Rhinolophus ferrumequinum: one gene and its partners. The protein of the gene in region 3 interacts with the protein of the main gene of each other region in a pairwise test. Links are inferred from orthologs where the notes say so. Each region holds a gene or a part of one and is shown on either strand. Other genes may lie near its edges. The genes, in order: PEX16, PEX10, PEX19 and PEX11B.

Region 1 (7,375 bases), on a different chromosome or scaffold from region 3:
AGCTGCGCCCTCTACAGCTAAGATTGTGAACAATGGCTCTCTCTGGAGCTGGGCTGCTGCAAGCAGCCAGAGGTCGGCGTGAGCTGCTGTGGGCTACCATGTGCTGCAAGGAGCAGCTGGTGGCCAGCCTGAGTGGCTGGAAGCAAGCGTGAGCAGCTGTGGGCTGTTGTGTGGTGCCATGGGTTACCATGTGCTGCCACAAGCAGCCGGCGGCCAGCATGAGTGGCCAGCAGCCATCGTGAGGAGATGGCAGCCGGCGAGAGCTGCCGTGAGTGGGTGACCGATGACCGGCAACTGACTGCCTCAGCCAGGGGGACGCAAGGCTCATAATACCAGCATGGGCCAGGGAGCTGTGTCCTACAACTAGACTGAGAAACAATGGCTTGAACCGGAGTCGGGGACGGTGGGGGGAGACAAGAGAACGGGAGAAAGAAAAAAAAAAACCATAGCCAGAGATGAGGCTGGCAGGACCCATCTCTCCTACTGACGCTCTGTCCCTTCTTTGTGCAGCCCACAAAAAAGAATGAGGACTCTGACATCAGAAGTCCTGAGTTCAAGTTCCAATTCTGCCCCAACCTAATCTTTCTTCTCTGTAAAATACAGGGTGATGAGAACAAATGAGTTGATGGGGATAGATATGTTCCATAAATGGACAATATTCATTTGGTCAGCTCTAAATCCACCAATGAGTCCCCGGCTCCGTTCCACTCCAGAGCAGGCAAGCAGCTTACCCGGGGGCTGTGCCTGGGTCTCCCTGTCCAGCGGAACGATGGGGGGTGAGGTCTGGAGGCCAGCCTTGAACCAGATGAGCAGGAACATTCGCAGTACCGCCCTGGATTGGGAGTATGGAAGGGCTGGGGGCAAGGTGGCTAGCGGGCCAGGGGCCAGAGGTGCTCTCCTGAACCCCATCTGTACAGCTGGCCTCAGTTACCCCTCCCCCAGGGACTGCCCGCCACAGTCCCACATACTTGGCCAGCTGGATGAGGGCAATGACGAGCCAGCGGCCCACTTCGCCCCACACCTTGGCGGCTCCCATCTCCATGAACACCTCCACGCACTCCAGCACGCTCAGCCATGTCAGCAGCTTCTGCTGGGTCAGCGACTGTAAGAACCCCAGGCCAAGAGGTCAGGAGGCACCCCTTTGTCACAGGCCCTTCCCCTAGGGGACCCCTCTGACAGTAGAGGTGGATTTTCCCCTTTCCAAGTATGTTGGCCTGAGTTCTCCATCTGGGACAGGCTACTCCACGGCTCTGAGACTCAAGTCTTTTCATCCGAGATGGGGACACTGACACCTTGGCACCACCTAAGGAGGTGACTAGAGGCTCAGATGGATGCAGGCATGTCTCACACTCTATGAAATCATAACGTGCTACACACACAGGCTGGTTCTTACTATTTTGTTCCCAAGTCCCTATGCTTCCCGCCCTCAGTTCCTGGCAAAATTCTCACCACAGGCAACTTTTTCCGAAGCTCCTTCCGTAGGATCCCATCATTGAGCAGCACAAGCAGGTTAGAGGCGGAGTACACTGAGGGGCAGAGTGTGGCCGTCAGAGGCTGGCCCCGCAGCCGCACCTCCTCCCCTTCTCCCCAGAGCTACATGCATCACCTATCACCTGCTGTGCTCAGCCACCCACACACTATGTGGAAACCAACCCACCTCCCTGTCCACTTCCTCCGCTCCACACTCCGCAGTGTGATCTCGTGTGGGTGGCTAAAACAAGATGGTTTGACCTGTGACAAACCAGCTACTGCCCTGCTGACATAGCAGTGGCCCTCCAGCTGCCCAGAACTGTCCACTGTGCTCCAAATAGCCACAGATGGGTGGCCTCACCTCCTGGCCCTGCTCTCTCTGCATCCTGCACCTGAAAGTCTACTCCACCTTTCAAAACCCAGCTGGTCCTTTCAGGACCGTCACTTCCAGGTCTCGCTGGGCAAACACTACAGAGGCAGTTACAGTATGGGGATCCTGCAACCCGGGAGATGTGGATTTGAATCGTGGTTCTAGGGTCATCAGTGGCTACCTCCTAACCTCACTGAACTGCTGTTCCTTAACTAGACACCGAGGACAAGAGTACCCACCTTATATGGCTGTAGGGAGAATTAACTGGGCAAAGGCAGGGAAGGCATGTGGCCCAGCTGCCTGACCCGCCAAGGTCCCCAGATTTGTTTCTCAACTATGGGGACACAGAGGGCCCAGGACAGTGGACGCTGGACCTTTGTCCCATTCAGTCACAGCACAGGATGATCTAACAGGAAACCTAGGACTGCGAGCTGGGGTGGTCACCCCTCTGGGAAGCCTTCCTGGACTCTCCCACCCTCCACCCACCCGAGCCCGGCTCACCCAGCTCTGACAGCTCGTGCGAATCGGCGAAACGACCTGAGGAGAAGGCACAGAAGGAGGCGTCGGTGAGCGTTGCCTCACCCTGCGGCTTCGGGTCCCAGGATGTCCCCTCCCTACGCCCTACGGGAACCTGGAAGGAACTTCTCAAGCACAGCGATCACTACCCTGACGCCGCAGGGAAGGGGGCAAGTGGGGTCAGAGGTCAGAGCCCCGAAGGGATTGATCAAAGGTCTGGGTGGCACCTGCCAGCAGGTAACTGAGGCCCCGCACTGCCGTCTCCAGCTGGGCGGTGGCAGCCGGGTGACGAGTCACGTACTCCTGGTAGCGGAGGCCCAGGAGCCTCAGCTTCTCCATCATGCCTTCGAGACCGACAGACCCACTGACCGACAGACAGCACGAGCGGTTGCGGCGCCCTGCTTCCTGCGCCCTCCTTCCTGCTTCCGGCCCTAAGCCCGCCTCTCGGTTGCTTAACTTCCGCGGGCCAGTTGGACGGTGACGTGAAGGGCCATTGAACCCCCCATCACCCTATTTCTTAAATCCCCTCCCACTAGGGTAGCGCTTAGCAACTGCGGGCTTAATCCCGCCCTCCCTACTCCTTCAGGTCATCTCCGCCCCCGACCCGATCCACACTGTTCGGGACCCGGCTTTTCCGCCTTCCGGGTTGGCTGCCCTTGCGCCTGCGCAGTTATAGCTCCAGGAAAGCTCCCGCGGCAGTCTGAGCCGTTCATTCCAGAGAAGGCACTTGTAGCCTAGAGTCTTTCTAATAGAACGCCGAGAGGCTCGAACGGGACCGGATTTTAAAGGGCTGGGAGGTAGCGCGCGGAAAGGAGCCTCCATCAGACTTGGGGAGGAGCCGAGAAAGTCTTAGGAGAGTTGGACTGTGTCTTGGCAGGCGCGCGTGTGGCCAACTGCCTCATCTCCCGTGCCCAACCAGAGGTAGTGCTGGGGAAACTGAGGCAGCAAGGATTCCAGCATCCAACGCAGGCTCGATCCCCCGGCCAGCACCATTAGTGCCCCGACTTCGGCCCCAGCTCCCGCAAGGACTGTGTCCCCCAAGAGCGCGCACCTGCACGCCCACCTCCGTGGAGAAAACCCTGGCCCGGCCTTCTGCTCTCGGCTCGTGGTGACCGTGGTCGGGAGATTCCCTTCTCTGGGCCTCAGGTTTCCCCTCCCCATCTGTAAAGTGGTTTGAGGGCAGACTTGGTCCTTAGACTCGGAATCAATCTTAAAGCGCTTTACGGCCTTCGGATGCACCCCTCAGTCTTGCTGTTCCCCAAGGGATGAGGAGACTCCTGGGGATCCCTTCTCAAACGAGGCAGCTTCCCTGGAAGGGGCGGCTGCGGGAGAGGTGTGGCCAGAGGTGGAGGGAACTGACGCCCCTGGGAGGTAGTCGCTGATTGGTTGTGGGGAAAGGGGCGGGGCCTCGCCCATCCGGACTGTGCTGGCAGATGTGTGGTACCGAGAACAGCGAAACATTATTTTACCTAATCCCCTCTACCAGATATTATCTCCAAATGAAGGAAGGATCCGCTTAAGAACCCAGTCAAGATTCGAATCCTGACAGAATCTAGGCGTTTTATGCAACACACCTCACCGGGAAGCCACAACCCTTCCTGACACTCCCTCCCCCCAGCTCCCTCTCCAGTTTAGTTTTCTTCCATATCCGGTGGGCCCTACTCAGGCCAAGGAATGAAGAATCGGGTAGATGTGTCCAGGGGCCTCCGGAAAGGCAAAGGGCTTGGAGAACACAGAAGGTGGGCGTGGGCACCAGCAGCATTATTTCTCACCACCTCCTGGGTGCCAGGCTCACTCAACTCAACTCTTCTTAGCAACCTTGCTAGGTTGCTATGAGCTCCTTTTCACAGATGGGGAAATTAGAGGCTCAAGGAGGGGAAAGGACTTGTCCCAGATCACACAGCATGGCATTGGCCAAAAGGATCACAATACAGGTCTTACATGGCAGTGCTCTCTCTCCTGCCCACAGCCTAGCAAGAGCAAAGACACGTTGAGGCCATTTGGTCATAAATCAAGTTAGCAACTGGGATTAAGACCAGAGCTCAGGAACTTCGGTGTGGGGCTCTTTCTCCCTTACTCCCTGCACCCCATCATCTTAATGAACTTGTTCCCTGAACCTCACTAGTGGATATCCCTCCAGTGCCTCCCTCTGAGGCTGTGGAGAGAGTAAGGAGGGAGAGTGTGCCGTTTCTTTGGCATTCCCAGGGCTGGTGGTCTTGTGCTTCTGGGGAGGAGAGAGGCATGGAGGATAGAGGAGCAGCCTCCCCTAGACAGAATATGAGGGGTGTTTGGCCTGGAGTCTGTTTCTGTCTTTCCTGCCTCCAGGGCTGGAAAGGGATCATAAGGCCAGCCAGGCTGGCAGCAGCAAGGCTCCCTGAATTTCCTCTCCAGATCCCTGATTAGGTCCCAGAGACAAAGAGTGGCTGTGTGTGCAGAAGGCGCCTAGGGCAGCTTCTCCCTGCTGGGCCCATGCCTGGACTTGGTCACTTGGCTAGGCTGGAAGGGCCTCTGGGCATGATGGTCCGGATCTCCCCTGCTTAACTCTGCCATGAATGACAGGGGAAGAGAGCTAGACCAGTCCAACAAGTACAGATGAAGACGCAGAGGCCCAGAGAGGGGGCCTGACTGGTTCAAGGTTACACAGCAAAGTCCTTCGGCAGAGCTGGGCCAAACCAGGTCTCAGGCTTAGCACCCTTTCATATGCTCAGACATGTCTCCCTTTCCCCTCCACAGCCCAGAAGAACCTCTTGGAGGCCCAGCAGGCATCTCAGCAACTCAATTTCCCAAGTGGTAAGATTGAGCAAGAGTTGGGGCCAGTACTGTGAGTGACCACAGTCACTCTGCAGACCCAGCCTCTCCCACAAACTTCCTGGCCAGCCCTGACTGTGTGGCCCACCTGCTCCATCACATTTAACCCGCACAGATAGTCTCTGCTGAGGCTCTTGCAGGGGGATTCCACCCACTCCCACTCCAGCTCCAGGCTAGAGATGAGTGTCAGGGGGGCTCAAAGCTCCAGGCACCTGGGTGGCCCTTGCATCCCCTCATCTCCTCTCAATTCCTAGATATACAAGGAGCTGCCATAGGTCTCCCTGGCAACAATTGCCCCTGGCCTCCAAAGGCCCAAAGCCCAACCTTCCTTGCAGATCTCCATCTCCCAGAGAAAGGCATCCTGGCCTCTCAGGAGACTTAGGGGGCTCAGACTGGGCTGCTTTGTCACAGCTTTTTGAGGGGTTGGGGCATCTCAGGCCCTCACATTTTATAGTGAGGCTATAGAGGACTAAAGGACACAGCCTAGCCCCTTTCCAGGTCACAGCAAGGCCCAGTGAGTCCTATCCACTCTCAGCACATACTGACTGAGCACTGGCTGTGTGCCAGGCCCTGATTGGGTGCTGGAGACCCAATACTGTGAGCAGTCACCTTCCACGCGGCGACAAGCTATAAACAAGTCAACAAAGTCAAATTACTAGAAAAGTGCTAGGAAGAAAACAAACCTAGGGATACGAAAGGAGGAGCTGGCCTTGTGAGAATCTGGTAGAATCCAGGCAGAAGAACATCAAAGGCAAGTCCTGGGGCAGGAAACCCTTAGGGAGGAGCAGCAGGAAAATGTATGCCAGGTAGAGCCTGGGGAATAAGCTCCAGGGGATTCTAACAGGTTACTTCAATTCTCTGGGGAAGAATAATGCCGATGTTATAGGACCGTCGTGAGGGTTAACTGAGGCTTTATGGAACCAAGGCACAGGGCCTGGCACGGATTACATGCATGCGCTCAATCAACCGTGGCTGTCGTTCACGGTCCAGAGCGCCTCCCACCCCCTCCAGGGCTGAGCCATGTCGTTGCCTGCTGTGGGTGCGGGAGTGGGGGGTGGGGGTGGGGCTAGAGGAAGAGAGCCAGGCCCTCACCAGGCACAATCTCGACGGTCTAGGCAAGGGTGGGGATCCCGGGCCCTACCCAGGCGGCCCAGGCCAGTGAGGTCTCTCGCCAGTTCCTGGGCAGGAGGCAACTCTCACAAGCCCGCTTTGTCCCAGCCGAGCTCGGGCTGCGCCGGACCACGCTGAACCACCTGGGGAGAGAGAGAGAGAGAGAGAGAGAGAGAGAGAGAGAGAGAGAGAGAGAGAGAGAGAGAGAGAGAATGCAGTGAGGAAAGCAGGGCTCAGGTGCTCCTTTTCCAGGGAAAGTCTCGGCAGGCCGGCCCCGCCTCCTGCCCGCTGAGCAGGTGTCCCCGACCTCCGGAGCAGCATTCCAGCCTCCTCCTTCTTACTCCGGCAGTCCTTTTCATCCTGGGCCCGGGGTCACGGCCCCTCCCACGGAGGGAGGTTAAGGGGAGGAGATGGGGCCCCAGAGCAGCCAAGAGGGGGATGGGCTCAGAGCAGGTAGCGGGGACTGGGCCTTCCTGGATGTCATGACCCCGCTTCCACTACCCATCCTGAAGGTTTCCCGGCTTGCTCGCGGGCCTGGGCAGGGGGGCAGTCAAATACCGTGGCAGGGGCGGGGCCAGGCCCCCGGGGGTCTCCCCGCCTTTCGGGCTCAGCCAAGCGGAGGTGAAACCTGAGCCCAGGTTGGGGGCGGGGCTGGCTCCTGCTTGGACGGGGCTGGCCTGCGCCTCCACCCCTTTCCCCACACCCTGGCCTTTTTCTGGAAGAGTAAGGTCCGTGTCTCCAAGCGCTGGAGCAGGTGAGGTGGCGACTCGGCGCGGGAGGGGACCCGGCGGCCGTCGGGCCCGGCCGCCCAAGGCTGACCCTCCTATCTCCCTCCCCTGTCCGTAGGGCCCGCGATGGAGTCCGCAGCCCGCGGTCGCACCCCTCCTTGAGCGCCCCGGCAGGCGGCCATGCTGCCCCGAGGGCGCCCCCGGGCGCTGGGGGCTGCCGCTCTGCTGCTGCTGCTGATTCTGATCGGATTCTTCCTGTTCGGCGGAGACCTGGCCTGTGAGCGCCGCGAGCAGAGGGGGCCGGGATCCTTCCCATGCGCGCTAACGCCACGTGTCCCCCCCGACGGAGACCCGTCGGTGGACCACCCGGGCC
Region 2 (7,149 bases), on a different chromosome or scaffold from region 3:
AGCCCCGCACACCTGCGCTGAGACAGGCTGCGGTGCAGCTTCCACTCCCGCCGGGCACGGTGTCTCTGCCGCAGACTGTAGAGCTGCAGCCCCACGGTCAGTGCCAGGTGCAGCAGGGAGATGAACCCCAGCAGCCGGTAGCTCGCGTGAGCCCACGGGTCCTCTGCAGGTGGGCGGCGGGTGTGGAGCTGTCAAGGACGCCGAGGGCACAGACACGTGATCAGCTGGCACAAAGACTGTGCAGACAACCAGGCTTTCCCCAGCACTTGGGTGCCCCATCCAATGAGGCCAAACTGTCCTCTTGGCCCACGGGGACAGAGAATGACCATGGGGCCCCCAGCTGAGTGAGGGGGGCCTGGACACGACGTGGGTGGGCAGTTGAGGGATGCTGTGCAGGCCTCACTCCCGACAGCAGCCAAGTGCTGAGCCAGGAAGAGGTGCACAGAGCTTATGCTGAGTCCACTGGGGCCGTAGGTGAGGACAGGGTGGGGAGACATCCAGGGCCCCACCTCTCAGAGGAAAGGAAGCGGCCTGAGGAGCTCCCTGCAGGGCAGAAGAAGCCCACGTGGCAGACGCTGCCAACCAGCTCCTCTGTTGGAGAAACAGAAGCTCCCCGCTTTTCAGAGGCACCTATGCTACCCAGGTGACACTGTTCCAGCCTCTCCTGCAGCTAGTGATGCGTGCAGCTTCTGGCCACATCCTTGAGAAGTTGGTTGCTCTCCACTTGCTGTCTCCCTTCCCTTGGCTGGGAATGGGGGCAGCTAGATGGCCAGGCCCTGGGTGCCCACGTACAGAAGAGCCCGTGGCAGCCCTGGATGGCCCAGGAGGGGGAACAGCCCACTGGGTGGAGCCCGTGGTTCCAGCTCAGCAAATGCTCTAAGACACACCGAGGGTGACGAGCCGTCAGCGCTGTGTGTGAGCACGCTGAGGACCGACACAGGACCAAGAGAAGGGAGGTGCAGGTGCCCAGGACGGCGCTGCCCGGGAAGGTCAAGGAAGGGGTGTGGTGGGCCTTTCTTACAGGGAGCGCGATGCTGAAAGTGACCCAGGAGAGCCAACCTGGGGACGCTCTGGCAGGTGGGGCCCTGAGGGAGGCTTTCTGGGTGAATCCGGAAGCAAGGGCATCAGCGGAGACAGGGTAGGAGCCTATCTGCAGGCTTTGTGGAAATGACTTCCTTAGGTCTTTCAGCAAAAGGTGACCTAACGAAGCCCGGTTGAGAACTGTGGCCCCAGCCGGCAGCTCTGTGAGCCCAGAGGCCCTGAAGAGCCACCTCTTTGCGGACAAACCCGAATGGAGCAGTGTGGGTGGTATCCGCACTTACATAGGTGACACCCGTGAGCCGCTTGGCCAGGTGGTAGAAGGCGCCATGGACGTAGAACCAGGCGACGTGGAGCCGCTGGAGGCAGCCCAGGCCCCACCTGAACGCCAGCACGGCCCGCAGGATGACCCTTCTCTGCTGCTCCGTCAGCGTGGCCACCCGCCGGTGCAGCCAGCGCCTCGTCCCCGACCGGCCACGCACGCCGGGAGCCAAGCTGCCCTGCGAGGGCCGGGCGCCGCCCTCAGCCTGCAGCTCGTGCTCCAGGTGCAGCAGGGCCTTGTCCAGCACGTAGGGCAGGACGCTGTGCAGCGCGACCAGCACACCACGGCGCAGCCTCGACGGCACGCGGCTCCGGGATGGGTCCACCTGCACGACCCCAACGTACTCCTCCCCGAGCGTCTGGTAGCCTGAAGGTGAGGGACACCCGTGTGAGAGGCTGAGGTGGGGCGCCAGCACGCTCCTTCTCTCTGCAGTGGGTCTCGCACTCCATTAGGTCCCTGCCTTTCCTCTAACGAATGCCAGGCCCTGCCACAGGGCTCAGTGCAGGGACCCCTCTTGGGCCCCGGGGTTCAGCCGCTGAGAACCGGTCTCAACGGCATCCTGGGCAAGGTCCAGGACTAAGGTCCCCAGGGACACAGACAGGACAGGTGAACGTCAGAACTTCCAGAGGCCCCGGGGGCAGCTCAGCCTGGCCTGGCCTGCCCTGCCCTCTAGGGGAGGGACTCCGGTCCTCTCCTCCTGAGGCTGTCCCTTCCAGGGACACTGGGAAGCCCCTCCAGGAGCTCCTCGCTCTGCCGCCAGCTCGCCTCCTGCCCTCTGGGCTTGCTGTACGCCGTTGTGAGGCCCTGGTCCGAAGGTGCCACAGGGGTGCTACCTGCAAGTGTGGTGAGGCCGAAGTAGGCAACATCCGACAGCAGCTCCACCTCTTTCCTCCACTCCAGCCACTTCTTGGCACCTGAGAAGAGAGGCAGCACCATCGTTGTGGGGTGGGGGCCGGTGGGGTGGGAAGGGTTGGTGACATGCTCCCGTCTTCCCGCTGCCAAGGCCCAAAGCTGAGACTGTCCTCAACCACGCTGTCCTCTCTGCTACATTATTTTGTAACGTAAACATAGACACCATTTGTTCTACCGCGTTCCCCTCCAGCTCAGAGCTTCAGCGCAGTCTCGGGGAAGCCACCCCGTGCCCCTCACCCTCACCGCTCTCCCCACACCTGGCCCCACCCCGACCCGGAGTCGGGGCGCAGCCCTGGCGGCACCCGCTGCTTCCTCGGCGCAGGTCTTAGTGGCGCGTGGCCTGGCCCCGGGGTCCCGGGGGAGCTGCCGGGCGGGGTCTGGGTGCGCCCCCGTCCACCTCGCGGCGTGGCGCCCAGGACCACCCCCGGGGCCATATCGTTCTAGCTGCGCCGGTCACTCAGGGCAGGTAGCGCCCTCGGACGCTCCGCCTGTCCTCACGGCTCACCCACGGGCGGGGGTGGGCGCCCCCCGGGCCATCCCGCACACCTGGGCCACCTGCACTCCGCCCGCTCGGCCCCGCGCGGCCTCACCCGCCAGGCTGTGCAGGGCGCTGCCCGCCGCGCTCCGCAGCCCGCCGCGGTAGTAGTCGTCCTTCTGCGCAGCGCGGACCACCTCAGGGGGACTGGCGGCCGCGGGAGCCATGGCCGCGGGGACACGGGTGGCCACGCCCACCGGGCGGTGCCTGATGACGATGGCCCGGCGTGCGGCGCACACCTTGTGCGTCACGGCACGCGAGGCGGGGCCGAGGCGGGGCCGAGGCGGGGCGGGGCGGGGCGGGGCGGGGCGGGGCGGGGCCGGGGTTGTCGGGGCGGGGCGGGGCGGGAAGGCTGTGGAGGAGGAGGGCGGGACGGAGGGCTGGGCCTGATCCGGGGGCTCAGGACGCGATGGGGGTTCCGGGTCTGAACGCTGATCCGGCTGCTTCGTGGCGAGGGGAGCGTGGGACCAGCCCCCGGGCCTGCGAGGGGCGTCAGAGCCAGAAGTGGGTGCTGACCCTCCGTGAGGTTGAAGCCTCGTCCGCCCTCCCGCCTCCGAGGTCGGGAAGGTAAGGAGGGCATTGGATCAGCTCAGAGCCCAGGGGACGGAGACTTGTCACCCCACCTTGTGTTCTAATCATCAGGGACCTCACCGGGACCCAGGATGGGGGCAGGACAAGGCAGGCACGTCCACTCACCCACCAGGCTGCCCTGCGCCAGGCTCCAGGAGTGCAGACCCCACGCTCCTCCCATCCTCTCTGGCACAAAGGAGTAACCCAGGGAGACCTAGGGGGACTTGCCAGGACCACACACCAGAGAGGACAGCTGGGCGAGTCCATTGCCCAGCCTGAGGCCACAGCTGGACTTGAGCCGCTGCTTGGGAGGGACCTGGGGGAAAGAAAATGGGAGAAGGCAGCCTGTGTTGGGAGCTTCAGGCTGGAGCAGGTCACCAAGTCTGCAAATGTGCCTCACAGCCACCTGGCAGAGGGAGGGCAGGGGGCGCCCCAGACAGACTTGAGTGGCCCCAGGCCAGCCTGTCAACAGAGGAGAAGGGCCCTGCCCTGTTGGCACTGAGGGGAGTGCCTGGCCACCTGGATCCATGGGGCTTGCAGGAGAGAAAGTGGGTGGGACCAACCCCGGGGCTGGGGAGCCACAGGCCCCACTGACCTGGGCCAGGAGAGCCTGGGGCGGGACAGGCCTCAGCTCTTGGCCTCACCTCTGCTCTGATCTTCCATCTCCAGACGCTCAGCTGTGGGAAGGACCCCAGGCTGGCCCAGCCCAGTGACAGAGCCAGGCAGTGGCCCAGCGGTGGAGACGGTTTCAGAGCTGGTGGGGCCCCACTGGCTGCAGGCAGGGCCTGCTCAGAGGGCGGGGGCAGGACCTGGGTCTTCTCGCAGTGTCTGCCCTATGCTCCTTGGGAGTCGTGCCCCTGCCTGTGTATCCCGTTTCCTGGATATAAAGGCTGCCTGCTGCTTCTGCTGCAGCCTGGGTGGACCCTTGGGGGTAGGCGGGGGGAAGACGTGGCCCACAGGGGACACTGAGCCCCTCACAACTTTCTGGCCAACTGTCATCTGATGGTCTGAAACGCACAGGTCCTTCCTGGCCCCAAAGGAGCCCAGGCCTGTGGGTTTGCACCGATGGATGGAGTCCACGGGCACGGAGTCGGCCTTGGAAGGGGTTGTGTTCCCTTCCTCGGGGTCACGGCTGGCAGGGCACCACCCTGGCTGCTGTTCCTCACTAGCTGGGCCCACTCACTAGCAGGGTCCCGCAGGGAAAGCATCTTCCAGCCTTTCTCACCCACACAGCCTCACGCCTGGGTGGGGCACGGCCAGAGTCAATGTGCCGAGTGCCTTGTTCTCGAGGAGGAGGGCCCTGGGGTTCACTGGGGTTCACATCTTCTCAGTGTTCTCACGGTGCTGTGCAGTTCGCTGAACTATGATTCGAGTTTGGGGGTCAGATTCCAGAAAGGCCCAGCAGGGGGCGCCGTCAGCCCATCTGCTCTATCAAGTTGCTGGGGAGAATTTTAGGGGATTAGGGAGTGATTTTCACCCCACAGTGTGAACTGGGATCAGAACCCACGGCAGAGCGGCGGAGTGACCACTCGCTGGGCCTCAGTGTAAAGGTGGGGACACGGCCAAGGGGAGTAATGTGACTGATGGTGGGTTTCAAAGGGAAGTCAGGGTGGGCGGGGCCAACGGGAGGCCTACCCTGTCAATAAGTCAGCGCCCATGTCCCCTGGTGACCACAACCTGGTGACCACAGCTCTGAGCCCTGTGTACTGTAGTGCTGTCGGGTCCCAGAATTCTGGGATGTGCTGGAGAGTAGGGACGAGGGCTCTTGCCAGAGGGGGGCACTGGTCACCCCCAGCCTCTGGACGTCGCGGGCTGTGCCCACATGAGTCCCGGCAGACCGGCCCCTCCGAGCAGCCCCGCGGCCTTCAGGCAGAGCCCGCGTGGGGCCCTGACCTCCACCTGCCGGGCCGTTTGACCCGAGCGTGCCACTTCCTGTCTCCGATTGAAGACGCTCACCAGAAACGTGTCCCGGCTGGCTTCTGAACCCCCATCTCAGTGCTGAGGACAGGCAGAGGTGTCCCCATCTCCCAAGCAACTGCTCCTGGCACGGAGGCCGGCGGGGTCCTTGGAGACCTCTCCCAGTCCTGTCCTGCCCCTACACCTGAGGGGCCCCTTGCTGCACCCCTCCTGGGCCGGGGTCCCTCAGTCTCACAGTGGGAGCCCCAGTCTGAGGGAGGGGGCGCAGCACAGGAACCTGGGTGGAGGTGGGGTGGGGTGGCTCTGGCCCTGGTGGAGGGACCAAGTGGCAGACTGGACCTTCCGAGGAAGCCTGGGAGGCAGTTCGGTGAAGGAGGCGCTGGAGCAGGACTTCAGAAGTCTCCTGTTATGGTTCTTGCCGAGACGGCGCCAAGGGCACCTCTCGGGCCACCCCAGCCCTGGGGTCAAGGCTGGGGCGTCCTGGGCCCATCTGCAGGGGTGAGCAGTAGTGGGCAGCATGGGTGCCGTCTCTGCAGCCTGCTCAGCCCTGGGCACCTGCTGGGACCACCAGGGCAGGGCAGGGAGCTCACCCTCGGGCTCAGGCAGTCAAGGGAGGTACTCAGATCAGTGGGTTCTGGACCTGCCACCTTCTTTAGTCACGTTTTGCCCTTACCTGCCGGGACCTTGGGTTCCTGGAGGGCCAGGGGGCGGAAGACAGGTGCTTTTAGCTCCAGGTCTGGAGACCACAGGTGAGGCCTGGCTCTGTGCCTCCGGCCCCAGGCTCTGGGATGTGCTGGAGGCTGGTGGGCCAGCCATGAGCTGCTCCCAGCGCCTGGAGAACGGGTGCCTGCGGGGAGCACAGGGGAGGGGAGCAGAGTGCAGGACAGGCAGTGCGGGGCCAAGCCTGCCCCGTGGCCTCGCTGGGCGTTTCCCTGCTGAAGCCTGTTCCCCGTCTGCAGAAGAGGCAGCTGATATGCTGCTGTCTTCCTACATTACAGCCTCCCTGTGCACACGGCCTCGTCCCCTGGAGAACCGCACATGGCCTCGTCCCCTGGAGAACCCCTCCAGCCCCAGTTGTCCCAACACGGCCGACCCCGGGCCTGCATCGTCTCACTGGGGTCCCAGCTGAATAGCCCCTGACTCTCCACACCGGCCCCCAGCCCCCCACTGTCCCACTTCACTGGCAGAGGAGCACCCTGGGCCCAATGGCCCTCACCCTGGCTGGCGTCCTACTGTCCAAGGCCACCCCGAGTGTGCACCTCTGCACCCACAGTGCTCCCCACCCCATCAGGGGCTCCAAAGACCTGTCCTTCCTCTTCCCCTCCCCCCCACTGTGCCCACAGTGGGGCAGCTTCTCAAAGGGGTGAGCTGCCCTCTCCAGGTCCTCTCTTCCATTCTTTCCAGCCTCCCAGGAACTGCTCTTGCTGGGGGTCACAGCACCCTCACGGCCAGGGCCCCCAGCCATCACCCTGGGACCATCTGTGCCTGAGGGTCCGCTCCTCAGCCCCAACTGCAGCCTGCTCTGGGAGGGGGTCTGCGGAGGACAGGGCTAGCGGCCTTAGGTCCTGGCTGGTCCTGCGTGTCCTGTTTCCCGAGTATGAAGACAGTACGAGTCCAGACTCTGTGGATGAGAGCAGCAGACATGGACTCGAGGTTGGCAGGCTGTTCACAGCCTAAGCCGCCACCAGAGGGGAAGGGGACTTCCCATTTGTTGGCTGAGTGCCCACCCAGCAGCCGGTGGAACAGGGACAGGTGCCCCCCAGCTGTGGAGTTGACAGCAGAGAAATGCTTTCCCTCAGCTCCTCTGTGTTAGTTTTTGGAGGGTGGCCAGGGGCTTCTGTCTGTAGAAGCACGA
Region 3 (7,851 bases):
CATCCATGCCCAACCCTTCCATGGCTTTGGTCAACTCCTCTTCTGACATGCCTGAGTTCTAAAAAGGACAGGAGAGAGATGAGCAAGTACATTGCCTTCTTGGGATGCTTACTACCCTTTCAGGTGGGAAAGAACTATTTAAACTTGCCTATAGCAAAACAGTGAGGCAGAGACAGACTTGAGATGATACCCAAGAAACTCTGTCTTTGAGAATCTGCTGGTGAAGTGTCTAGGAGTGGGCCCCTTGTGGTTCCATTCCTGCCCACCCCCCCTCACCTGCAGATCAGTGGCATTTTTGGCTAGTCCACTTAGTGTCTCCTTTAGGCAAGAAGTGAATTCTTGTTGGGAAGTCGCATCACTGCCTAAGAGATCAAAAGAACCAAGGTCATTAAGGATTTTAACTGTTTGCTTACCTAGGCTGACCTGGTTACCAGCTTGGACATGGAGCATTTACTAGTGAGTCACGATTACTCCAAATCTTTATAGTTATCTTTATAGTCATTTTCACCAATCTACATGGACTACATGTCAGTTTGTTCTCCATGATGACACCTTCGAAAACACTGCGACCATTTACATGACCAGCTTTCAATAATCTTTCCTATTACTTTCCACTTATTTCACCCCTTTCATTAAGCAGCGTGCCCATCCTTCCTCCCATCTCCTTGCCCTACCCCCATAGAAGTGGTATCATGACTATCAACTTCACTAAGAATTTTGGGGTTTTCAAGCAACGATGACTTAAGAAGAGATTTGTTCAGATATTTCCAGTTGTCAGGCACCCCCCTCACCCACTCTCCCAGCAGCCTCTGAGAGCTTTTGGAACTGTTCCACCAGGTGGGGCTCTTCCTCAGCCAACTCCTTCATTGCCTTCTCGAACTCTGCAGTGGCTTGGGAAGCCAGCTCGCTGTCGAAAAGTTCCTGGAAAAACTTCTCTTGGGAGGCGAAGAGGGCATCCTGCAGGGGAGGAGTGGCCAAAATGCATCTCTTACTTGGCACTGCACTGCACCTGGTTTCTGACAGAAACCACAGGCAGAGGCTCTGAGAAATGCAGTGTCTTCTTCCTACCCACTTTCACTGAACATTCTAATGACCTCTCTTAATAAGGACAGCAAGAAGGTATCTGTCAGTATGGAGTGGTATTCCCAAACCAATCATTTAAATTTCCTTTCTTAAGGAATCCCCTTGAGATCTCTAAACTCCACCTCAAGTCAATTCCCTGTTTCACAAGGACTGAGGCCTGCAAGAGCACTCAGCAGTGTGAGGCCAAGGCACCCTCCCCTCACTCCCCTCTGGCCCACTGGGGCCTGCCCCACCTCTGCTCAGAGTTGCATGCCATCCCCTCCCCTCCCTTAAATGGGTAGAATTTATACTTTGGCAGTGTCTCCTGGCGATCTCTTCTGGGTCCCTGAAGCATCAGGGGCTGTAGTGGTAGGAGGGGGTGCTGGGGAGGGTTTGGCCTTATCGAAATCATCAAGAGCACCTTCAGAGACAAGAGACATGGTATGAGTTTTGGGGATGGATGAGGATGAAGGAATGAGGGGTTTCTGGGTAAAGCACTGAGAGAACAATTTTTCAAACTGCCCACGTTCCTAAATTTTTCTTTTTCTGAGTGTCCCTTTCCTGGCCCTCCCCTCAGTAAGCCTCCCACTTACCTCCCCATTACCTAATTTATTATGATCAAAGGGGAAGAAACATCTTAAGGAACAGGCATCTCTCTCAGAGCTGGGAGGAGAGGGTTAAAAGAAGTTCTGCAGAGACATCTCCATCTACACAGTGCCTTCCCTGCCACACTCTAATGATTCCCTAGAAATCTTATACAAATATCTAACAGGCACAGAGAACACAAATGTCCTTAACCCCCTGAACTCACTCTGGATCCCTGAAAGGAATAATCTTCTGCAAGAAAGCAAAAGCCACAAATGTCCCACCCAGCTCCTCATGGATCCTGATACAACTAGAAACTGAGGGACTCCATACTGCACTCCAGGGAAGGGCATTAAACTCTCTTTTCTTATCCTTCAACTTAGGCCTCCCTGGGCAAAGCTCCTAGAGCTAGTTCCCTCTGGCCCCATCTCTGCAGATAACTGTGAGCAGATAATTCACACAGAATCACTTGGCACTGTTGCTGAATCACTTATTCACTGTTTCTGTTGTCCTTCCACCTGCCCACATCTCTGTGACTGGGCAAGAGACAAAAAAATATTCACCTCTGCCCTGAAAAGCCTGTGTCCTCACTACCTTCTGCTTGCCAGGCCTAGGGGAAGGGCACTGGCTCCACTCTGGGCAAGAAACCAAGAGGAGTGGAGGACAGGGTTCAGGAAGAAAAGAACATCCACCCTCTTTCAGTAGGGTGAACTGTCTTCCTTGAGACCTTCTCATCCTCTATTTTTCAAAATAATGGCAAGGGAGTCGGCTTCAGCTTTGACCTGATGAAATAACTGAAAAGGGGCCTGGTGAGACAAAGGTGAAAGGACTGGGAGCAGGAAAGTGTCTTTTATGTTAAGGATAAGGCAGTGCATAGCAGAGTGAGCTACGGGCTTGTTAAGAGTTAATGTAAGCAATCTGCGAGTGTCTGGTTTGCTGCCCACCGAGGACCGAATGAAGTTCGACTTCAAGAACTTACTAAAGGGAAGGAGGGTTTGGAACTGGATCGTCAAACGCAGTCCCCTGGGTTACTGTTTCCCCTCTGGCAGAGAGATCAACGGTCTGGGCTCTCAGGGGCCCAACGTGAAGGCCGCAGCTCCCGCCGCGGAGGAAGATGAGGGGGACCCAGAAATCGGGATCGCAGTCAGACCCTCCGCACCCGTCCAATCTTTGGACAGCCTTCCCCGCTCCGCCCCAAATATCTCAGGCTCACTTAACTCCTTGAATGGGTTCTCATACCCGCCCTCCTCGGTTCTTTCCATTATGGACTCTTACTTTCCAGAAGCTCTTCCAATTCCCGGTCCGCTTCGGCGCTGACCGCACAGTCCTCCTCCGCGGCGGCCATCTTGCTACCTCTGACTCGCCGTAGGAGGCGGGATTCCGCTAGGCCCCCCGCGCTCCACCCTTTCCGCCTCTGCGACCAATACTAATTTGGGGCAGTACGGAGCCGCCCCAAAGGGACAGGAAACTCGATTTGGGGTGGGTTTTTTCCCCTTACGCCAGGAATCATTGAACTAACATAGAAACTTACTGTTATCTTTTGCTAGGTTTCTTACTGGCCTGGCTTCCTTTCATTCAGTTTCCCTGATTACCCAGAGAAGTAGCTCTTCCATTATTTTTTTCAGTACTTAACTCTTTCTGACATAATATATATTTTACTTATATTGCTTATTGTCTCCCCTTCCCAGTTCCACCCCTCCCCCCTAGAATTTCAACACCGTGATGGCAAGGATTTTCGTCCTGTTGTCTTCAATGCTGTATTCTCAGCTCCTAGGCTAGGGCCTAAAACTTAGTAGGCATTCATTGGCCATCCTTTGTTCTCCCAGATCCTTATGAAACACGTTTCTCTGTGGGACCTAATGGACATCTCTCCTTTCCTATTCTCCATTAGAACTGTTAGACTAAAGGACACAGGGCCAGGACTTGTTACGACTCAATGTTGGTTGAATCAATTCAGGCAGGAAATGAGACTCTGGGACCTTGGACTGAACAAGAGGGCAATTTGAATGTAGTAGTAATAGACCTGCCTTCCCTGATCCATCTCCTTTTCTCTGTACAGAACGCAACCTCCAATGGAGTGAAGTTGGAGAGGCTCACATAGAGACAACTCTAGACATCCCTTTCCTCCTCTGAGATTGTTCTCCTATTCAGATCTGTCATAATACATAAACTGCTTCAGACACAAATCTATTTTAGCACTTACAGGACATCTGCTGTTGTTTAAGACCTGTTGCAGCTCACAGTGGAAGATAGAGATAAATCAGGATCAGCCCTTGCTGACTGGGGATTAGGCTGGAGGTAGGACTACACATACACACAGTAAGAATGGCACAAGGAAAGTGTCTTTAAAAAGCTCAGGGTAAAGTGCCATAAAGTTTAAAAGGGAGAAATCACATCAGAATGAAAAGAGTCACTTCATGACTTTCATCCTTAGCTTTCCAAACACTTGAATACTGTGTCAAGCACCAGATTAGGTACGTTTTCTTTCCTTTACAGATAGGGCACAGACTTGTAAAATCATACCTGTGCAAAAACTACTGTATTCTTCTAAGCACAAGTAGTGTGACTTGGGAGAACACATTCTGAACTGGGAGACCCAACTCTGTCAATAAATTACTCTGTTCAAAACCCTTCACCAATTTAGACCTCAGATTACAAGTATGTAACAATACAGTTGGGACTCCAAGGTACTTTTCAATAGTTCTATAATCAACACTTGTAACAATTTATTACAGGCTAACTTGCTCATTCAATTCCAAACTGCTTACATGTGTATGCCTAATATAACTATAACTACCGTGTTTCCCCGAAAATAAGACCTCGCTGGGCAATCAGCTCTAATGTCTTTTGGAACAAAAATTAATATAAGACCCGGTCTTATAGTAAAATAAGACCGGGTCTTATATTAATTTTTGTTCCAAAAGATACATTAGAGCTGATTTTCCAGTTAGGTCTTATTTTCAGGGAAGCATGGTATATCAAGTGCATGTTTAAAAATATAACAGGCATTTCTATTGGCTTTTCATTAATGTGGCTATATAATCATGTTAAGGAAAATACTAGATGGTAATTGAGAAGATTAAGATGGAGTTCTAAACAAGCACGGTTCTTTGCTTTGTATCTTAAACTTGCTTCTGCTTTTGTTTTTACTACTGATACTCCTAACACTTCATCTCATATTTACTCACCTTCTGCCTTTCTAATGTATAGTGAACACTGTTGCAAAAAAGTAATTTACAGCATTTTTTTTTATATCACTCTCTCGCTTAAGGATATAATGGCTTTCCACTGTTTATTTACCGACTTCAAATTCTTGCCCGGTATTCACAATTATTTCACATATATCCATGTTGTTTCCCCAATTCCCTAAGCTTCAAGAGGCACAGATTGCACACTTTTTTCATATCCCTGAGTTCAGAATGTTTATATTTATATGTGAAGTTAATTTTGTAATTTAATTTTTAAACATAGAAAAAAATTTTTTTGCCAAAATGTATCACCAATTTGCTTGTTTACAGAAAGAATGCAGGGCGGCCAGATGGCTCAGTTGGTTAGAGCGCGTGCTCTGAACAACAGGGTTGCCAGTTCAATTCCCACATTGGCCAGAGAGCTGCGCCCTCCACAACTAGATTGAAGGCAACGAGCGGTCGCTGAGCTGCCAGAGGGGCGGCCGGATGGCTCAATTGGTTAGAGTGTGAGCTCTTAACAATAAGGTTGCTGGTTCAATTCCCACATGGGATGGTGGGCTGCGCCCCCTGTAACTAAAGATTGAAAACAGTGACTGGACTTGGAGCTGAGCTGTGCCCTCCACTAGACTGAAGGACGACGACTTGGAGCTGATAAGCCCTGGAGAAACACACTGTTCCCCAGTATTCCCCCATTAAAAGTTAAAACAATAAACAATAAAAATAAAAAAATTTATATATATATAAAGAATGCTTATAACTTGAGAAAATGTTATCAAAGTAGTATGCAAATTTTTGAAAAAACAGGCTCAGCTTGGGGATACTATGTTTAGAAAGCGACTCTTAAAGCTAAAAAGAAAAATAAAGGCCTGTGCTCTTTGACGTAGGAATTCCATTTCTAGTTTATCCCCCACCTGTATAATGTGTGTTCAAGTTATTCATTGCAGCCTTGTTATAATAGCCAGAGATAGACTGGAAATAACTCAAATATCCATCAAGAAGGCAACTTACATAAATCGTAGTAAATAATACATGGTACACTATGCAAAGAAGTAAAAAAGAGTGAAGCTCTCTAATATAATGAGATGAAAAAAAAATCCCTAAAATATGTTAAGTGAAAACATTAATAAGGTGCAAAATCTTTAAATAGCCTGCTTCCATTTATGTATAACAGGGGGATAGGGAGAAACATATTCCTATCTGTTTGTATATACATAAATCTCTGGAAGGATAAGGAAGCTAACAACAGTGGTTTCTTGTTTTGGGGAAGGTGATAGGAACTATGTGGCTGAGGAAAGGGATGGGAGGAAGACGTCACAAAATAGCTTTTTACATTTACTGATTTTTGAATCATATGAGTGTACTGTTTATTGAAAACATGAATTTAAAATGAAAAAGTACATACTTTAATCAAAGGCACAGCATGTCACTGTATAGTCTTAGCACATAACAAGCAAAATACTGTATTGCTAATATAATAATTGTAATAAATACAACGTGTTTAATACTAATTAATCTGATATATAAAACATCCAGAACAGTTACAGGTGCTCAATAAATATTGGTATAATCAGCAATAGATAGAAGGATGCAGTTCAATGATGAAATGAGGGAGCCACTTACTTTCTACCATTCTCATAGCAGTTTAATATATCCTATGGGAAAAAAAATTTAACAACGGGTATTTATTATTTTGTAATTAGAAATAATTATCGAAGGAAAGACATCTGCTTTGGTGGGGCAGCTGCATGGAGTAAGCAGGAACATGAGCGTATCCAGGAAACAAATAGCAAGCCATAAAATTCTTGTAGAAATTTATTTAGTGTGAGAAACAAAAAATAAGAACAATGGTTGTAAAGAACAAATCAATAAAAAGGGATGTGCGTTTTTGAAAAGCCAAAGTTTCTTCTTAGACTTTAAGTTTCTGGGCACACAGAGGGTACCTGCCTGGGAGTTTAAAATGGGGGATGGCTAAGAGTTTGCTGTGATTGAGCAAAAGATGCTATCTTATTTATTATATCCCATTCCTTTCTAGCAAAAAAGGAAAAAAGGTGGTGAAGAGGAAAAAGATAAATATTGAAGGAATTTACTAAACAAATGTTCACCACTAAGTTTTCATTTGTTTCTTGAAAGAGCTAAGCTGGGAAGGCAAGTTCAACTGTGACTGCAATTGTGACTGCAACTATAGTAGTGACCTTGAAAGAATGAAAGGTCCTCAAAGGCAAAAAAAAAAAAAAAGAAAAGTCAAGTTTAGACATTTGATTAGCCACAGAAGAAGAGAAAAGGACACTACATTTTAGGGTAGGGAGAGCTAAATGTCAATTTGAAAGGTAGTTAAGGAACAGGGAGTTACAAGGACACAGAGACTAATTCTCTGGGGCAGTGGGAGGCGGATGGTATGGTGATTGACCCTTTACACACAAAGAGGGCCTTAGCGAAACTGCAGAGGACTAATCCTTAAACCAATCACATCTTTGCCAATCTCTGTCACCTGTAGAAGAGGAAACAAGAAAAATTTACGGGTTTGTGAGGGTGAGAAGCCTAGAAAGCTTACTCCCTCCACTCCTCAATGAGCACAGTAGAGTGATTTGTTATTGTTTGTTACTGATTGGTAAAGAGCAATGGGGAGAAGTTCTAGCTTTCTCCAGTATCACTGTCTCCAGGAGCTAGGGGCAAATAGAGGAGAAAAAGGACCAACATGCTTCTTTCTCGTTCACCTTCCCTCAATATTCTGGATGCATTTCTCAAGGACAGTACTTACTGTAGTGACCCTGCAGATTTGACCCTTGAACTCCGGGCAATAGCAGGCTCCACTGAGTGGACATTTCTCCACTGGCTTTCCACGGTAGATGGGCCGATAAGATGCAGCACAGATATCGAAAGGGTTGTGCATGTCATAATTGAGCTGGTAGACATCTGTGGGGTTCTTCTCACAGGCAGACAGGATTTTGCGGGTCTAAAGATAGGAGGGAAGGAATATTTATTTAAGAGGACTGAAAGCTGCACACCACAACTCAAA
Region 4 (7,583 bases), about 22 Mb from region 3:
CCAAGGCAGCCTTAAATAGGAGGAAGCCACCATCTCCGCCTACCCCTAGCTTGTCTCTCACGGCAACACTGTTTCCAGCTCACGACCTGCTCAAAATGGCTACAGGAACACTTCCGGCTCTTCCCGGACTAAGCCCGCCTCCAGGACGTATTTTCACCGCACCGATGGGCGGGACTTAGAGTAGGCTTTTGATTGGTTATCTTGACTGGCGACCTTTCCCCTCCGCGACAGTTTCCCGAGATGCTTAGTTCCTGAGCGGCACAGACGAGAATTAGAACGAAGGCAAGATGGCGGATGTGCTGGATCTTCACGAGGCCGGGGGCGAAGATTTCGCCATGGATGAGGATGGGGACGGTGAGGACGGTGGAGGCGGCTGCGGGAAGCGGGGAAGGTGCGACAGAAGGGCGTACTAGGAAAACAATTTCCATTCTTCCCGGCAGGGAGGGTGGGAGGCGGGGAACCGGGTTTCGGTTGGAGTGGAGACTCCGCCCCCTTCGGGGCAGAACCTGGGGGCGGGACTGGGAAGGGACTGGGATGGGAGGCGATGGGGGTCCGCTTTCAGATGTTGTCTTGGGAGAGAGACTATTGTGTTGTTTTTGTTACTTACTCTTTACTTATGGGGCGCAGAGAGCATCCACAAACTGAAGGAAAAAGCGAAGAAACGGAAGGGCCGCGGCTTTGGCTCCGGTGAGTGTTTGTGGGGAAAGGGGGGTCTAGAACGGCTAGAGCTACGGGTTTTGGAGTCCCCATTCTGATTCCTGGGGAACGGTGGGAGAAGGGATTTCCGGTGATCTCGTGTATGTTTCTTATTAGAAGAGGGGTCTCGAGCGCGGATGCGTGAGGATTATGACAGCGTGGAGCAGGATGGCGATGAACCTGGACCACAACGCTGTAAGTAACATGGAGCCTGTAGGTGTCTGTGTAGGAATGAGGGACTAATAAAGTAAAACCAGTAGGAAAGGGGTCAGAGATAGCTTAACCAGTCTCTGGAGTTCACACTCCTGTGATCTTGCTTGAAGTTTTTCTCTCATGGGCTCAAACAACCTCCCTCCTTTCCCCAACAGCTGTTGAAGGCTGGATTCTCTTTGTCACTGGAGTCCATGAAGAAGCCACGGAAGAAGACATCCATGACAAATTTGCAGAATATGGGGAAATAAAAAATATCCACCTCAACCTGGACAGGCGTACAGGATACCTGAAGGTATCCTAAGTTACACTCCATTGCCTCCCATGTTTGGTGTGGTTGGCCAAGAGCAAAGCTGAAATAAAATATCATTGGAAATTGATTTTGTTAGGAAAGAAACAGACAACATATTGTAAATACAGTAGGGATATACCGGGGTGCCAAAAACATGTATACACATGACTTGTATTCATCTTTTGTTATCGGTATATATTGAGTATTACAATTTTAACACAGTTTTTCCTTTCTTAAGATGTATATATATATTTTTTGGCACCCTCTGATATATATTCATTGTTTAAAGTTTATACACATGGACTGTCCTACTTGAGTAGAAAACAGCTCGGTGGAATAGGAGGGTTTTGATACCTGCCTTTCCACTTGCCCTAGGGCTATACTCTAGTTGAGTATGAAACATACAAGGAGGCCCAGGCTGCTATGGAAGGACTCAATGGCCAGGATTTGATGGGACAGCCAATCAGCGTGGACTGGTGTTTTGTTCGGGGTCCACCCAAGAGCAAGAGGAGGTAAAGTGGAGAGGGCACACACCGTCTTGGGGAAGGGAATATGAGTGAAATGGAATAAGGACATTGTATTGTGTCCCTCTGACGGACCTCCCTCCCTTCATTTTCCCTAGAGGTGGCCGAAGACGCAGCAGGAGTCCAGACCGGAGGCGTCGCTGACAGGTCCTGTGTTGTCCGGGTGTTCTCTCCAGAGATTCCAGCCTTGGAGACATAGGGCTGGGCTGGAACTCACTGTTTGTATTTAATCTCTTCCCTTATTGCTTGGTGGTTCTTGTGAGTTACAAATAAATGTCCCGTTCTTTTTTTCTACATTTAAAATTACTTTTCTGTTCTAACATTGGAAGCTCTGAAGTGCTATTTCCAACAAGGTAGTATGGGTCACTGTAAAGATACTTCTCCCAGTGACTGAATTCTGTGTGAATATCTACATTACACATAGTCTCAAGTCTCAAAGGGTCTAAGTAGAGACACTGCTTAGTATTTATTTTCCTTGGAAGTAAGAATAGGAAGAGCAGTGAGATGTTCTCATGATGTTAAAGAATAATTATTCTGTCCCTATATACTCTGTCCGGAGCAAATGGATGTTATAGGAATGTTTCTTTCATTTCTGCTGCTGTTGCTGCCACGTTTGTGTGTACTTCCATCTGTCTAAGGGTCTGAATGTCCCGTCGGGGAGTTCTTCCAGACCCTCCTTCCCTGGAGGAGTCTATGTTAAGTTCTTGGTGCCCTCTTCAGCATCCAAGCGCAAATGCCCCATGGAGGACAGAATCCAGAGCAGCATTGAGGACACCAAAGAGGAAAAGGATGTGGCTGAGGCCGGGAGGCACTGCAGTCAGCATGGCAGGAGAGATCCAGCAGGTAATAAGATGTCCAGCAGAGGCCAAAGGTCAGCAAACCAAGCAGGGCCAGTCTTGGGGCCCACAGACGAATGCGGGGCCGATTGTTGAGACAGAGTGGCAGAGGGCATATTCACCTGACCTGAGTATAGGATGAATTAACGGATGGGCAGAGATAGTGAGATGGAGCTCTTTCCCTGCAAGGAAGAGAATGCTGCAAACCCTCTTCCCCTTCCCAGTTTGGGACTGTGTGTTTCCCTCCCCCCCAAGATTATGACACATGCTAGAGAAAAGGTTTGATTGAGGTGCTGTGTTATATGAAGCTAGTAAGTCTACTTTAAGACTTGATGGTGTCCCAAGAGTAAAGGAGAATACTGATCACCTCCTTAACCCTTGACCAGCTAACTCAAGTTCAGAGGATGGCTAGAGGCTGGTTGGAATTGAAAGCATTTAGTAAAATTGTGTGTAGCATCAGGTACTAGAAGTATGGTTAGGATCTCGATTTGACTTGATAAATAGCTATCATAAATGAGGCTAGCAGCAATAGTTCCAGGGTACGAATTTGGGCCTGGGGATTGTAGTCTCATCTTGGCTCCCCTTCCTTGTCTGGGGACTAGACACACTGAGGACATTGTGGCTGTAGCAGATGGTCGTGGCAGTCAATGGCAGCAGAAAGAGGCAGGAGAAGGTGAAGAGGTTATAGGTAGTCTCTTGCCGTTGAGCTTTGAAGTTGCCTTTGGTGACACACTGAGTGAAAGGGACTGGGCCCCTCAACCGGTGCTGTAGAACAGGAACAGCTGGAGTGGGCTTGAGGACTGTAAGAACTGGTTCCCCTTCCACCTCCTCCCAACCTACCCACCGGTGTCACACTGTTTCCTAATTCATCCTTGTATGTATGCAGAGCAATACAGAGTTACGGTTTGTCCGTGGTACCATACAGTTAGAAATGTATCTTGAAAATCTTAATCTCCTTAGGCTGTGGAGCTAACCATTAAGTTTGTTATATCCTGGGACTTAAAGAATCCTGCCTTCTCAAGTACTATTTGAAACATTGCCCTTATAAAAGGATAGCTTTACCACCTCACCAACATTTTTAGCTGATGTGATTTTCCTAATGTGTTTGTGACTAATTCTTTAGAAAAAAGAAACCTTGTATAAATTGGGTGCTGCTAAAATTTCAGGCCATTTTGCAGCCACTCTGAAATGACCTTTAGGAGGAGTATTAATGTACAAGAACTATAATGGTGAAACTGATAAATAATAAAATTTAACATTTTCCAAATGTTGTTGGCTGCCCCTCCCCTCTTTTGGTAAATTGCTGGGTTTTGGTTTGAATCAATAAAGTATTTTTCAGTTTTGAGCTTGGTTCAGGTAAAGTAGGTTGAGTCACTTAGTTTGATAAAAGGCAAGCTCTGTAGCTATCAGGTTCCTAGGTATTAGGTATTTGGAAAGTGATTTCAGCAGGCATGAGGGACTTTTAGGAAAGATGGTAAAATATCAGCCATAGACATGTGATTTTATGAAGTGCTTGGAGTTATGTTCGTGCTACTCGGAGCTACTTGGGGAATGGTCTTTCCTTTATCCCTATCTTGAGTTCTTATATTTCTAGGTCTTTTTGGTTTTTTTCTCTTGTTTTTGTGCACTATGCTGAGAAATATTTGACACATTGTGAGGAGGGGTTTAAAAATAGGCCAGGCTCCTAGACAGTTTGATGTATAGTCCTACTTCTGCCTCTTCTTTTCCCTGTTTTCTACACAATTGACCACCTATTATAGAAACCTTCCTTTCAACTATTTGATACTTGGAAACTTGAGCCTATAAAACTAATTTCTAATTAGCCCAGCACTCCCTCATCACACTAACAGCACACTTAAAATATTTTTTTTTGCTATATAACTGTTGCACCTAGACAGACAGTCCTTCAGGCCCTTCTAGGCTGATCTGGACTGTGAGTAACCCCTCTTTTCCATGTTCTCCCCAAATAAAGGTTTCCTTCAGGAAAAAAAAATTTTGACACTAATATTTTAAATACAACATATGGGCAATGCAGAATTTACACAAGAGGATACTAATTTGCAACTAAAAATATCACCTTTTGCACATGTATCATAATGTTACCACTAGTTTGCCATTGAAGCACATGGAAATTGCAGCTGTTAGGTTGTCAGTTGTCCAAACTGTAAGAAAGGATGAAATTCATTTCCTGTGTGATCTTGTGGTCCAGGAGTTTCAATGATTTAGCCAGTCACATAGCTAGTTAATGGTAGAACCTAGACTGAAAAATCACAGCAAAGTAAAACAAGCAAGCAGTGCAACAAAAACAGGCTTCTAACTCCCAGTCCCCACCTAAAATGTGCTTCATATAAATAATGCCTTTTGTACTTGAGGCAACAAGCTGCTTTTTAAAGTTTGGGATCGCAGAGGTCCTGTTTGCAACATACTTTTGGAAGATGTATGTCTTAGAACTATAGTCGGACTAACTTTTTGGTAGAATTCTAATAATGTAAGGATTTACGGATCACATTTTAAATCTGACTACAAGAATAATGCATTATCATTCGAGAGTTTGAAATTTTAGCCCCCTTCCAGACATAATCCTAATCTCGAGATGCTGCTCTACCCACCCCCCATGGTAGTAGTGGTTTTTGTTTTGCAGAAAATTCATATTTAGCTTTTTTCTAGATTCTAGTTCATTTTCATACTGCGATTTTATTAACTGGTACTCAGGTTCAGATGCTCCCTTTGTTTTTTTCCAGTTTTGACACCCAGTCCACAATAAAGCTGGAGTAAAAAATACAAATCTGATTATGTCCCTCTCTACTTTTTACTGTAGTATCTGTCCACTGCCGTCAGGGTAAAGTACAAGCTTAATATTTGTGATCTGACTTCCCCTCCAGGCTCATTACTCACCATTTTCTAGCCCTCAACTTTAGCTGCAACCACTCTTGAGATCCACTGCCCACCCTCCCTAGCATTCCCCCTGTTTTAACTTGTCTAACACCTTCGCGTATCTTTCAAGAATCAAATCTTAGCATCTTTGGGAAGCTTTTCCCGACTGTCCAAGAGTGGGTCAAACACCCCTCGTTACTTAGCTCCTTATGCTCACCTTTAGCATAAGACTTCACTGTACACTGTACTGTCCGGGTTTGTACTAAGTTGTCTCCTGCACTAGTCTACATTTCTCGAAGGCAGGACTTTGTTGCTCTATCTTTAATAGAGCACTTGAATGTACCTGGGGATGCTGCACATTATTTTTTAAATCATGAATGAATATACCACAAAATTTTCCCAAAGCCTCTGGCTTCACTGTCTTCTTTCTAGACCCCATATATGTTTCCTCCCTGCTCTAGAGTTTTGCTGCAACAATCTCCAGAGGAAGGATACAAAAAGGGGGAAGCGAAGTAAAAGCTGAAGGGAAGAAGCATAGATAAAGGGTACTGCTTTTAATTAAGACATAGGCTCTTAACAAGTTAACATGCAATGATCTTAACTAGCAAAAGAATTAGATGCTCCCCCCGACGATTAATGGCTGACCACTGCCAAGCACACCCTTTGTCTCCCTAGGCTCATGTTGCGTGCCCAAATTTATGTCCAGTTTAGCCCTGAGTCCAGACAAGCCACTCAACCTGGGGCAAAGCAAGCGGGAAACTAAGTCCCCTGGCCGCCCCCAGAAGTTTCCCTCCAGCTAAGCGAGGTCCAGGTGGGTGGAGTCGAGCCCAGTGACCACAGGCCCGGAAGCTGCAGCATACATGGCCGTTAGTTTCAGGAACACGAGTGTCTGACATGCGATGTTCCCCGCCAGTCACTGAACAGCGATATTCCGGGTGATATCTAGGGACATAACCACAAGAGTAAACCGGCAGCTGCCAAATGGGCAAACAGTCGCCCTACTGGAGAGAGGCGAAGCTGGCTGCATTGCGGCTGTCACACAGCACGGCCAGTTCCCTCCAGCGGAAGAACAAACAGCACAGCGGTCACTCCCACTCCGACCTTGGCCACAGCAGAGAAGATGGGCAGCTCTGAACCCTCCACCTCCACTCCTGATCCCGCCCAGGCCTCTCCCCCCCGGCACTGCCACCGCCAAAGTGGTGCCATTGCCTGTGGACATCGTGACCTGGAAGGAGAAGGGGGGATGAAGTGTGAGTTTGAAGAGATTAGCTCGGCCACTGATTGTTCACCCTCCTTTTTAGGATCTGGAGCTGGTTATCGCGAAATTCTTCCTAAAGCCTCTGTCGGGACTCTCCATCTGTATTCTGGAGGTCACCTAACCAACTGTCAGGGTTCTGCGGGGAGCCTCGTACTGTCTGGCACTGCCTCTACTTCCACAGGCTTGTGTAGCCCCCAAATCGCTGGACTCGACCGGAGCGGGCGGGCGCGCGCGAGCACGTTGGGGGTGTTCTGCTCGCACCCCCGCGGGTGGGCGGGGGAGCCCTGTGTCGGCGGGCGCGGCGGGATCACTACGGCGCCTTCTTGCCCCGCCCCCACCCCTGCAAGCCCCGCCCTGGGTCCAGAACATTTCAAAGACAATGTGCGGCCCGAGCATGCTTAGGAAATAAGGGACCCCCGGATGAGCCGGCCGACCGAGAGCACAAAAACACGCAGGCCCACCCGCCAGCGCTTCTCCCGAAATTCCGCTTCAGCGCCGTCTCCACCTGCTCTTGTCTGGCGATGTGTGTCCCTCGCGAGGCACCGTTGGGTCGTCCGGGAGGCGTGCCCAGGGGCGGGAGCCGGGCTGCGGAGCCTGCGCTGCTGCTGTCATGGACGCCTGGGTCCGCTTCAGTGCTCAGAGCCAGGCCCGGGACCGGCTGTGCAGGTGCGGCCCCACTAGGAGTGGGGGGAGGGCGGGCAAAGGCAGACCCTCGTGAGCGAGGTCAGGTCCCACTACGGGGGTCAGAAAGGGTCATCTCGGGCGACGGGGGCCCGGACAGACCGCGACGAGCTGATTGGAGCCGGCCGTGAGGAGATGATTCCTTTCTGCGCCCGGGAAAGATGGGGAAACTGAGGCACGAGTGGGCCAGCGGGAGGCCGCTCAGGGTTGCC

What was found.
Region 1: the proteins of PEX19 (region 3) and PEX16 interact in binary tests that used the Homo sapiens proteins (3 or more experiments, as listed by UniProt). The link is inferred for Rhinolophus ferrumequinum from reciprocal best matches to the Homo sapiens genes PEX19 and PEX16.
Region 2: the proteins of PEX19 (region 3) and PEX10 interact in a two-hybrid assay, tested with the Homo sapiens proteins (4 studies listed by BioGRID and IntAct, with this or other methods). The link is inferred for Rhinolophus ferrumequinum from reciprocal best matches to the Homo sapiens genes PEX19 and PEX10.
Region 4: the proteins of PEX19 (region 3) and PEX11B interact in binary tests that used the Homo sapiens proteins (3 or more experiments, as listed by UniProt). The link is inferred for Rhinolophus ferrumequinum from reciprocal best matches to the Homo sapiens genes PEX19 and PEX11B.

Annotation. Positions count from the first base shown.
Region 1 is NC_046294.1:14,936,192-14,943,566, reverse strand, and holds the start of PEX16 (peroxisomal biogenesis factor 16), read right to left. Parts: upstream 3,013-7,375; 5' UTR 2,699-3,012; coding exon 2,584-2,698; intron 2,378-2,583; coding exon 2,342-2,377; intron 1,527-2,341; coding exon 1,450-1,526; intron 1,103-1,449; coding exon 969-1,102; intron 833-968; coding exon 732-832; intron 1-731. Other genes in the region: xylosyl- and glucuronyltransferase LARGE2, read left to right, coding at 7,183-7,375. UniProt on the Homo sapiens protein: Required for peroxisome membrane biogenesis. May play a role in early stages of peroxisome assembly. Can recruit other peroxisomal proteins, such as PEX3 and PMP34, to de novo peroxisomes derived from the endoplasmic reticulum (ER).
Region 2 is NC_046292.1:1,175,619-1,182,767, forward strand, and holds the start of PEX10 (peroxisome biogenesis factor 10), read right to left. Parts: upstream 3,017-7,149; 5' UTR 2,975-3,016; coding exon 2,863-2,974; intron 2,275-2,862; coding exon 2,194-2,274; intron 1,727-2,193; coding exon 1,323-1,726; intron 189-1,322; coding exon 13-188; intron 1-12.
Region 3 is NC_046305.1:28,254,687-28,262,537, reverse strand, and holds the start of PEX19 (peroxisomal biogenesis factor 19), read right to left. Parts: upstream 3,006-7,851; 5' UTR 2,993-3,005; coding exon of another isoform or gene 2,923-2,992; intron 2,442-2,922; 5' UTR 2,383-2,441; coding exon 2,211-2,382; intron 1,484-2,210; coding exon 1,374-1,483; intron 958-1,373; coding exon 792-957; intron 363-791; coding exon 277-362; intron 59-276; coding exon 1-58. Other genes in the region: COPA (coatomer subunit alpha), read right to left, coding at 7,264-7,323, 7,594-7,788. UniProt on the Homo sapiens protein: Necessary for early peroxisomal biogenesis. Acts both as a cytosolic chaperone and as an import receptor for peroxisomal membrane proteins (PMPs).
Region 4 is NC_046305.1:50,154,109-50,161,691, reverse strand, and holds the start of PEX11B (peroxisomal membrane protein 11B), read left to right. Parts: upstream 1-4,574; 5' UTR 4,575-7,211; coding exon 7,212-7,356; intron 7,357-7,583. Other genes in the region: RBM8A (RNA-binding protein 8A), read left to right, coding at 288-354, 628-687, 814-891, 1,065-1,201, 1,574-1,710, 1,821-1,866. UniProt on the Homo sapiens protein: Involved in peroxisomal proliferation. May regulate peroxisome division by recruiting the dynamin-related GTPase DNM1L to the peroxisomal membrane. Promotes membrane protrusion and elongation on the peroxisomal surface.